2 linked regions of the Arabidopsis thaliana genome follow. The protein of the gene in region 2 interacts with the protein of the main gene of each other region in a biochemical or structural test. Each region holds a gene or a part of one and is shown on either strand. Other genes may lie near its edges.

Region 1 (3,525 bases), on a different chromosome or scaffold from region 2:
ATTGAACCTCCCCTTTTAGTATTATTTGATTTGACCATATGGTGGGATTCGTCCTCGGACCCCATTCGCTTTGTGCTGTTTCTTATGGTGGTGACCTCTCTCTCTTGTTCTCCTTTCGATGGATTATATTATTGCATGTTTCTCTCATTTGTGGGCCTTGACATTTTTCTCCGGGGCTTCGCATTGTCACAGCCTACAACTTAATTTGTTCAATAACAAAGCAAGAAGACTCTTCTACCTCTGGAAGGGTACATTATGTTATTGTATGATTTATATAAAAGTGTAGTAACCCTTATGATAATCAGTAAAATAAGCTAGTGGCAGAGCCTGACTTTAATAACCTTGAAACTTCATAATGGTAAAGATTATGACATCTCTCTTTAGTTGACTAAGTGTATTGGCCACCTCCACTAAACTATTGCTTTAAGCCTTTCAGTGATTTTCCTTCTCATCATCCTGTACATTTGATTTTTGAATTGTTTATGTTTTGTTTTCCAGTGTGAGTATTTGCAGATCTAATGAAATTTTCCTTTATTGGCTTGTAACTGTGAAATATAAACATTTAGTAGTTCAAGATATGAAGAAAGTAACATTCTCGTAATATTTACAACTTTACAGTTGAAATGCTAAACTTGTTTTTAAGTGTAGACCGCTTGTAATCTCAAATAATTCTAAAACATAGTAGTTTAATCATAGCTGCTACAAATATCTAGGTGACTAGTTCTAGTTCACCTAAACCAGCGTATCCATCTTTCCGGTTCTAGTGGTGCTATTTGGAGAATGATGCTGTCTTGTGGTGGTTGAGTAGAGTTTAACGAGCTTGTTTGGCTGCAGTCGGCAATCTTCTCGCATGTCTGGATGAGGCAGTGCCTGCAGGTGGGACAGGACGAGTGTGAACTAAGCCACTTGTCTATACAACGGACATGGAATCCATGGTGGCATGTCGGCAACAGCTTCACACGTTCCTCGGCTACAAATTCCGAGAGACAGATAGCACACTCGGTATCTAAGCCAGGCAGATTTAGTTCAGTAGAGTAACTTACTGTCTGGAAACTCTTCAAGGCTTTTCGTTTGACTCCTGTGTTGGTCAAGCGAACAGGATAGTTGTCACCACCAGCTTCAGATGGTACTAAATTGGAGCACCTCAAGGCACATCTTATTATAGAATTGAGTCCAAGTGAGCAAACAAGTGCACATAAGAGGACTGATAGGACCATAACAACATTTGCATCAAAGTTGTTATCGCCTACATATGGGGATGGTGCTGGAGTTGGTGATTGATCATGGGTATGAAATAGTAATTTTCTTGAGTAAGAACTTCCAAGAATTTCTTGAAAGATCTCAGTTGGTTTTATGGTGGAAATGGAAATGGAAATGGTAGTGCACATGATAACTTAGTTTTAAGATAGATTGGTGGCTTTCTGTGTTTCCGTTGGAGGTTGTTTATATAGAGTAAAGGTTTGGAGGCTAATTGTTTATATAGAGGAAAGGTAAAGTTTCAATTTTTTTTCAGATATTTAATGAGGAATTTTTTTTTATATATTTCATTTAGAAAAACTTATGGTTGGATGAATAAGAAGCTATAAAGATCAAGCTCACATTATGGACCTTTACCTTTAGTGTCTAATTTTATAAAATCATTTGCAGCGTAATATGCTTTGTTATATAAAATGGGTCCATCATACCAGTTGCTGCAATAGTAGTGCCATGTGGCTGTGGCCTTAGCAAATCATATCTCCCAGAATTGCTTCTAGGGACCCATGAGCTTTTTAACTGGAGCAGCCATGAACTTTCCCTATCTTTGATATAGCAGCATTCAAATATTAATATCTCCTGGCTCATTTTACTGATATCTCACTGTTCCTTGATATTAGCCTGTTAGGGCTTATAATATATGTTTTCTACTTATGGTCTTGATGAAAACCGAGTTTCGGTAGATAGTTCTGACCCAGTGATATATCACATATGTGTCTAACCTGTAAAGGAGTTTCTCATATATAAAGCAAGGTTTGATTTAACTTTTCTTTTCTTTCCCTTTTTGCTATTTTTTAACAGTGGTGGAATCTTAAAAGTTTTGTTGATTTTGTGCGGTTTTGAGAGTGTACGGATGAAATATTTCCATTTAGTGAACTCTACTTATGTTTGGGGAACAGGAATCCACCCCATTCGTAGTAACTCAAGTTGTCCATAGAGTAGCCAAAAGGACAAAGCCTCTCCCAATCAATCTTGTTAAAGGCTACTTTTATCACTCTCATAGCATTAGTATCCACCTCCTGCTTTTTTTTCAGTAAACAGTTTCTCTCTCTCTCTTTATCTTTACATGCCTTTGTTTTAAATCAGAGGTAAAGGAATTGGTCCCACGGATGAACGAATAAAAAATGATTCTTTTTGTTTGCTTTATGAGATATCTTCTTCCATTGGTTGCAAATTGCGAGGGAAATCTACATGAATCTAGTATCTAATGTTTTTCTTGTAGCTCCAAAATCAAAGCAAGATTCTTTGATATGTGCTTTTGTATAACATTGTTTCTTGCTACTTTCCTAATAGCTGGTTTAGTGAAACATTAGATTAGGGAAGATTGTGTATCTTTGGGATAAAAAGTTGATGTTACACAGTAGGAGATGCATCTTTTCTATCTTTTCTCACCAGTCTCACTCGGAAATGGATTCCTTTTTTCTTTTGTCTGTGCCATTAGGTTACATATAACTGGTACAAATATATATAGTGGTCTGTTTTCTTGGTACCTTCTTTAAAGCAAATAAACTTTACTTTTGTTGTGTTATATGCTATAATGATTCGTTTGTTGGGAATATCTTAATTTGATACTCATTCACTTTAAAACTGCAGGGGTAACATGGATGAAGATGAGAAATCTGAACAGACAGAAAGATCATCCAAACTAAAATTGGTCATTCACCGTTTTTTTTTTTGAATGATGGAAGTGAAATGTTACCAACATATCGAGGTGAAATCACACGACACGACTTAAGGTGAAATAACGCAACTTGGTGAGAATTTGAAATATTTCTGAGAACATTTTTGCTGGATGCATTTATGATTTGGAAATGGTTTTGGATCCAGTGGGTGTTAAGAGCCATAAGAAAAGTTTCAGAAACATTTTAATTATAGTTCTCTTTGGCTAGAAAGTTGAAATACTGAAACACAGAGCTTTAGTCCTGTCTTTTAATCATTTATGTACCATTATTGACTTTCTTTGGTGGAACCTATTCTTTAATCATTTACTCTTTGGCGCCATTTCTCAGTGTTCATCTTTTGGTGAACTTTTGATTAAATATATATTTGTTCTTAGTTCCTGCTAAATATCTATAAAATATCTTTTTGGTCATTCTTCCTACTAAATATCTGTAAAGTAAATATTTATTTGATCATTCTCCCTACTTAATAATTTCTTTCTGTCAAGTAAATATCTATTTGTTCATAGTTCTTACTAATATCTTTTTATCTTTTTTGTCTTGTTCATGGTAATTGCTATTTTGATGACTTATGCGTGTGGATCGGTTTTGA
Region 2 (4,439 bases):
ATGGAACACCTATCTTAACTAAACCAAAAAACATGGAACACTGATTTTTATTTTATTTCTTTCAGTCGACACCAATTGTTTGAATTTTGCGTTTGAATGTCTAGAGTTCTTAGCCTACAAGTTTCATGGATATCTAAATCAAACCTATAGTCCCTATGATTTCTTATTTTGTTAAACTTAAAGCAGATGTTTAATTTGGTCTTTTGCTCTTAACTAGAGTAAGTTTTGCCTGTTGGTTATCATTTCTAAGTTCAAACTGATACTCTTCTAATACACTGATCCGTGGGATAATGATAAATTTTGAAAAAAAGATAGTAACATACTGTATTTTCTTATAGAGAAGAGAAATTCAAAAATATTCTAATAGCACAACACTATTAAATGTATTTTTCTCTTACCTGTGGACTTGTAAAGATAATTTGTTAGGGGTGATACTTTAAGCTCGGACGAGCGATGGATCTTTGGTCCATCGAAGCCCATCTACATAACTTGAGTTCAGTCCATACCCATTCATCTATAGATTATCTGTAGTATTAGATTCTATACCACTCTTTTTTTTTTTTCTGTTGATTCTATACCACTCACATTCCACATAATCAGGCTATTTATTATTTTATTAAATACTGTATTGTCAAATAATTTGACTTCACCAAATAACATGTTTTCGTCAAACTCATGATATGATGGATGATACGAATAAGAAAACTGTTATAACTTATAAACAAAATAGGGTGTTTAGTGGTTTTGTACTAGTGAATCATTGCTGAGTTACTACTTGAGTTCAAACATGCATAATACATGTCGTTTAATGGATATAGGATTGTTTGTGATATTATTGCATACTTAAAATGTTTGTTGCATCACGTATGTAGTCCACAATCCACAGGCGCACCTTGCAAGGTACAAAACTCATTTTCTACAACATACGTGCTACAACAGAACGCATTGTCACCATGACGGGCATTGGCCACAACGATTAACTCAGAGTAAATTTGAAGACCAGTTGGATAAGTTTGAAGACCAGTTGGATAAGTTTGAAGACTAGTTTGATAAATTTGAACAACTCGTAGCAACTCATCACACAACGAAAACATCAAATCATAATTTCACCACAAGAAGAAACAACAGAAGATGATCAGATTCTAGTTTTCACAAAGATGATGTTTTTTTTTGTTTCGTTTAAAACAAGACCCACTTCATTTGGTCCTGTCTTCAGAAAGTTAAAAGGACACAAAGAGATGTCTATCGAATCATACATAGAAATTAAGGCAGATTTTTTTCTTCATAAAGAGATAATTTAGTAGGTGGGATTTTCCATTTAGCCCATGGCATACTTCTGAGTCCAGCTTCGTGCAGTGGACTCGTACTTGTTCTTGTCAGTCTTGTACATGTGAGCTATCTCGGGCACCAAAGGATCATCCGGGTTTGGATCGGTTAACAAAGAACAGATCGATAGCAGCACCTGTTAATTGCAAAGCAGTTGTTAGAACTGATCGATAACAAACAACAATTTTTCATCCTCAATGAGTCTAATAAGCTTAATGTTTCAGAGACAACCGAAATGAGTCAAAGTTTAATGAAGACAGCTCAATCTTATCACTTCAACTAGGGATTAAGGAGCAAAAGCATGTTTGATAAGAGTAGATTACTGCCTCTGAAGCAGTTTTAATAGAGAGTATTTGTTTTAAGGTGGGTTTCTATTGTTAACAAAAGAATAAGAGAAACCGAACCTTGGAAATGGTGAGCGCAGGACTCCACTGCTCCTTCAAGATGTCGAGGCAAATGCTACCGTTGCTGTTAATGTTGGGATGGAACACCTTGGTCCTAAAGGCCACCTAGATATCATCACACACACCATAATGAAGAACAATGAGATAATGAAGCAACCATAAAGAACATACGAGCTTTGGCAAAACATACTTGATAACAATTCTCAAAATATTGGAATCACCTTAGGAGGCTTGAATGGGTAATCCGGAGGGAAATGGATGGTTACAAGGAAAACACCTCCAGCATAAGGACTCTCTGAAGGACCCATTATCGTTGCCTGCCAGTGAAACATGTCTTCAGCAACAGGACCTGTACACAGAAAGATAAACTCAATCTCACACCACATAAGCACAAGGAAACAAAGAGACAGTTTTTTCTTCACAAGTATAACCAGACCCCAGAAACTAAGACAATGAAACGAGTTTTAAGCCTTTATAAGATCTTCACCAGAGAAATCAGAAACGAGATAAACCAAATTTAGTTCTAGCCAGATCTTAAAAAGTAAAACGAGTACTTAGCTCGAGATCGGTACCAAACAACACATAAACACACAAATCCAAACAAATCCAAGCATAAGCGAACAAAAAAACCGGATCTATCAACACCAGCTCAGGGAAACAAAACTTTTTAAGATGAAATCTCAAAATCCAAACACGAAACAAGTACCTGCGCTACATGATGTAGGTGGATCCTTCTGGAGATCCTTCAATTCCTTCAAGATCCGCTTCGACGCCATATCCAAAAACCTAAAAATCAAAAATCAAACAAAGATTCTAAACGAATCAGAGAAGCTATAAATCCGTGAGAAATATAAGTAATAGATCCAAAAGCTACAGAGACAATACCTTTGATTTTTCGCGTAATCGGATTGGCGAGGTTTTCGCCTTTTTCTTCTCGTATTAGAGAGAAGAAGAACCAAGACTTAGGGGAAAGGAAGAAAATAGAGATGGTGGTGGACGAAAGACGAAGAATACGAATTATTCTCTGTGCTCACGTCTACAATAAATACCGTGTGGATTATTTACTTTCTTTGACTAGTGGACTCTACTTTTAACCCTCTTATTATTCGGTGGACCTTGAAACGACGCGGCGCTTCTTAATTAAAACATCAAGTTGCATTGAAACGACATCGTCTTAAAAAGTCATCTAATCTAACGGTTGATATCCTATCCTTAAATCAAGTGGTATTGAAATCTAACGGCTGCGAGTTTATTATAAATTTCAAATCAAGTGGCATCGAAACGCGTTGCGATGAAGTCATATAATCTAACGGCTGAGATTTGTATCTTTTAATCGATCGAATCATTTGAAGCCACGTCTTCTCTCTCACTTTGGAGATTTTTCTAACGCAGAATCTGAGAATAAGCTAACCGATTCCGATTTCGAGTTCGTCGCCGGGAGGAATGAACCGGTTGAAGGAGCAAAAGGGGCCGAAGTTCGACGGCGAAGAATCACCTCCACCTGATTTTGATGAAGATCGAAGTGTGGGTGAGGTAGACGGAGGAGATCACACGCCATTCGCTGGAGGTAAAGTCAGAAGGAAAGCGTCTCGCTATAGAGAGCATCGTGGTGACTATCTTCACGTTTCTTCTCGTCCTGGATTGATGCGAATTCTGGAGAAACAAGGTTAGGTTTCTCCAAACTTTTGGTTTTTATTTGATGAATTTGAGATTGAGAGGCAATTTGTGAATCGAAGAACTTGGAGGAATAGTTGAATCAGCTGTAGAATTGTGGCATCGATTTATAGTTTCTTATGTGGTTGTTTGGATTGCTAATGATTGGATTCACCTTGAATTGCATGTGTTTGATGTTGAGAAGGTGATTCATTGTTGTTATAGGTGATACATCGATTCTTTTTGCTGATAAAGTTTTGAAGTTCACCGGCTCGGGGAAGATGAAACGGCGTATTTTTATCCTCACTGATTTTGCGATCTATCTAATTGATCCCGAGACTGAAGCTATGACCAGGAGAATTGCTTTGTCATCAGTAGAGAAGATGTGTTTAAGCAAATTGAGTGATAACTTCTTCGCTATCATTATTCCCACGGAATATGATCTCTTCATGGCCAGCACTAGGAAGACTGAGCTTGTTCAGGTCATGGTAGATGTCACTAAAAGTGCTTCTGACTATGAACTTGAAGTGCTTCTCTCTAACAGGTAACTATGACCGCAATTTTTGGTTTTTGATGTCTCCTCTTTGAATGCTAATACCATGCACATGAGAATTGTTTATTTTCATCTCATTTCCTGATATTGACACTACAGGTATTGTGTTACTGAGAACTGATGTGGGTCTTTTTAGTCTCTGAAACTTAGTGAGCTCTGTTTCTTAAGTGACTTGGCTATTAGTTAGTGGTGAGACCAGAGGATCCACTTGTACCTATTAATCATATCTATATTTATGGAAGAAGATAAAGAATTAACACTTTTAGGAGATAACTACTGAAATTAGTACGTTGAGATACAAATGGTTACAACTATATTTTAAATACTGTTAGATGACATATTCTAGTTTTGATTGAAACTGTTCTCAAATGGCAATCACGATAATAGTCCGTAGAAACATTTTGTATATCTCCCATATCGTAAAACTCAGCTATTGGTTTATATGTGCAGTTTGTGTTTTATACTGATAATGGTTTCTCCTTGTGTTCATTCCAGATTTGAGT

What was found.
Region 1: the proteins of UBC10 (region 2) and AT1G49230 form a complex in vitro, tested with the Arabidopsis thaliana proteins (one study listed by BioGRID).

Annotation. Positions count from the first base shown.
Region 1 is NC_003070.9:18,207,183-18,210,707, reverse strand, and holds AT1G49230 (RING/U-box superfamily protein), read right to left. Parts: upstream 1,515-3,525; 5' UTR 1,389-1,514; coding exon 729-1,388; 3' UTR 531-728; downstream 1-530. Other genes in the region: AT1G49225 (uncharacterized protein), read left to right, coding at 1,561-1,563, 2,056-2,090, 2,848-2,918.
Region 2 is NC_003076.8:21,631,484-21,635,922, forward strand, and holds UBC10 (ubiquitin-conjugating enzyme 10), read right to left. Parts: upstream 2,765-4,439; 5' UTR 2,616-2,764; intron 2,544-2,615; exon of another isoform or gene 2,517-2,543; 5' UTR 2,507-2,516; coding exon 2,437-2,506; intron 2,080-2,436; coding exon 1,952-2,079; intron 1,836-1,951; coding exon 1,731-1,835; coding exon of another isoform or gene 1,704-1,730; exon of another isoform or gene 1,463-1,703; coding exon 1,319-1,462; 3' UTR 1,084-1,318; exon of another isoform or gene 965-1,083; intron 564-964; 3' UTR 538-563; downstream 1-537. Other genes in the region: AT5G53310 (myosin heavy chain-like protein), read left to right, coding at 3,174-3,396, 3,609-3,927, 4,432-4,439. UniProt on the Arabidopsis thaliana protein: Accepts the ubiquitin from the E1 complex and catalyzes its covalent attachment to other proteins. Mediates the selective degradation of short-lived and abnormal proteins.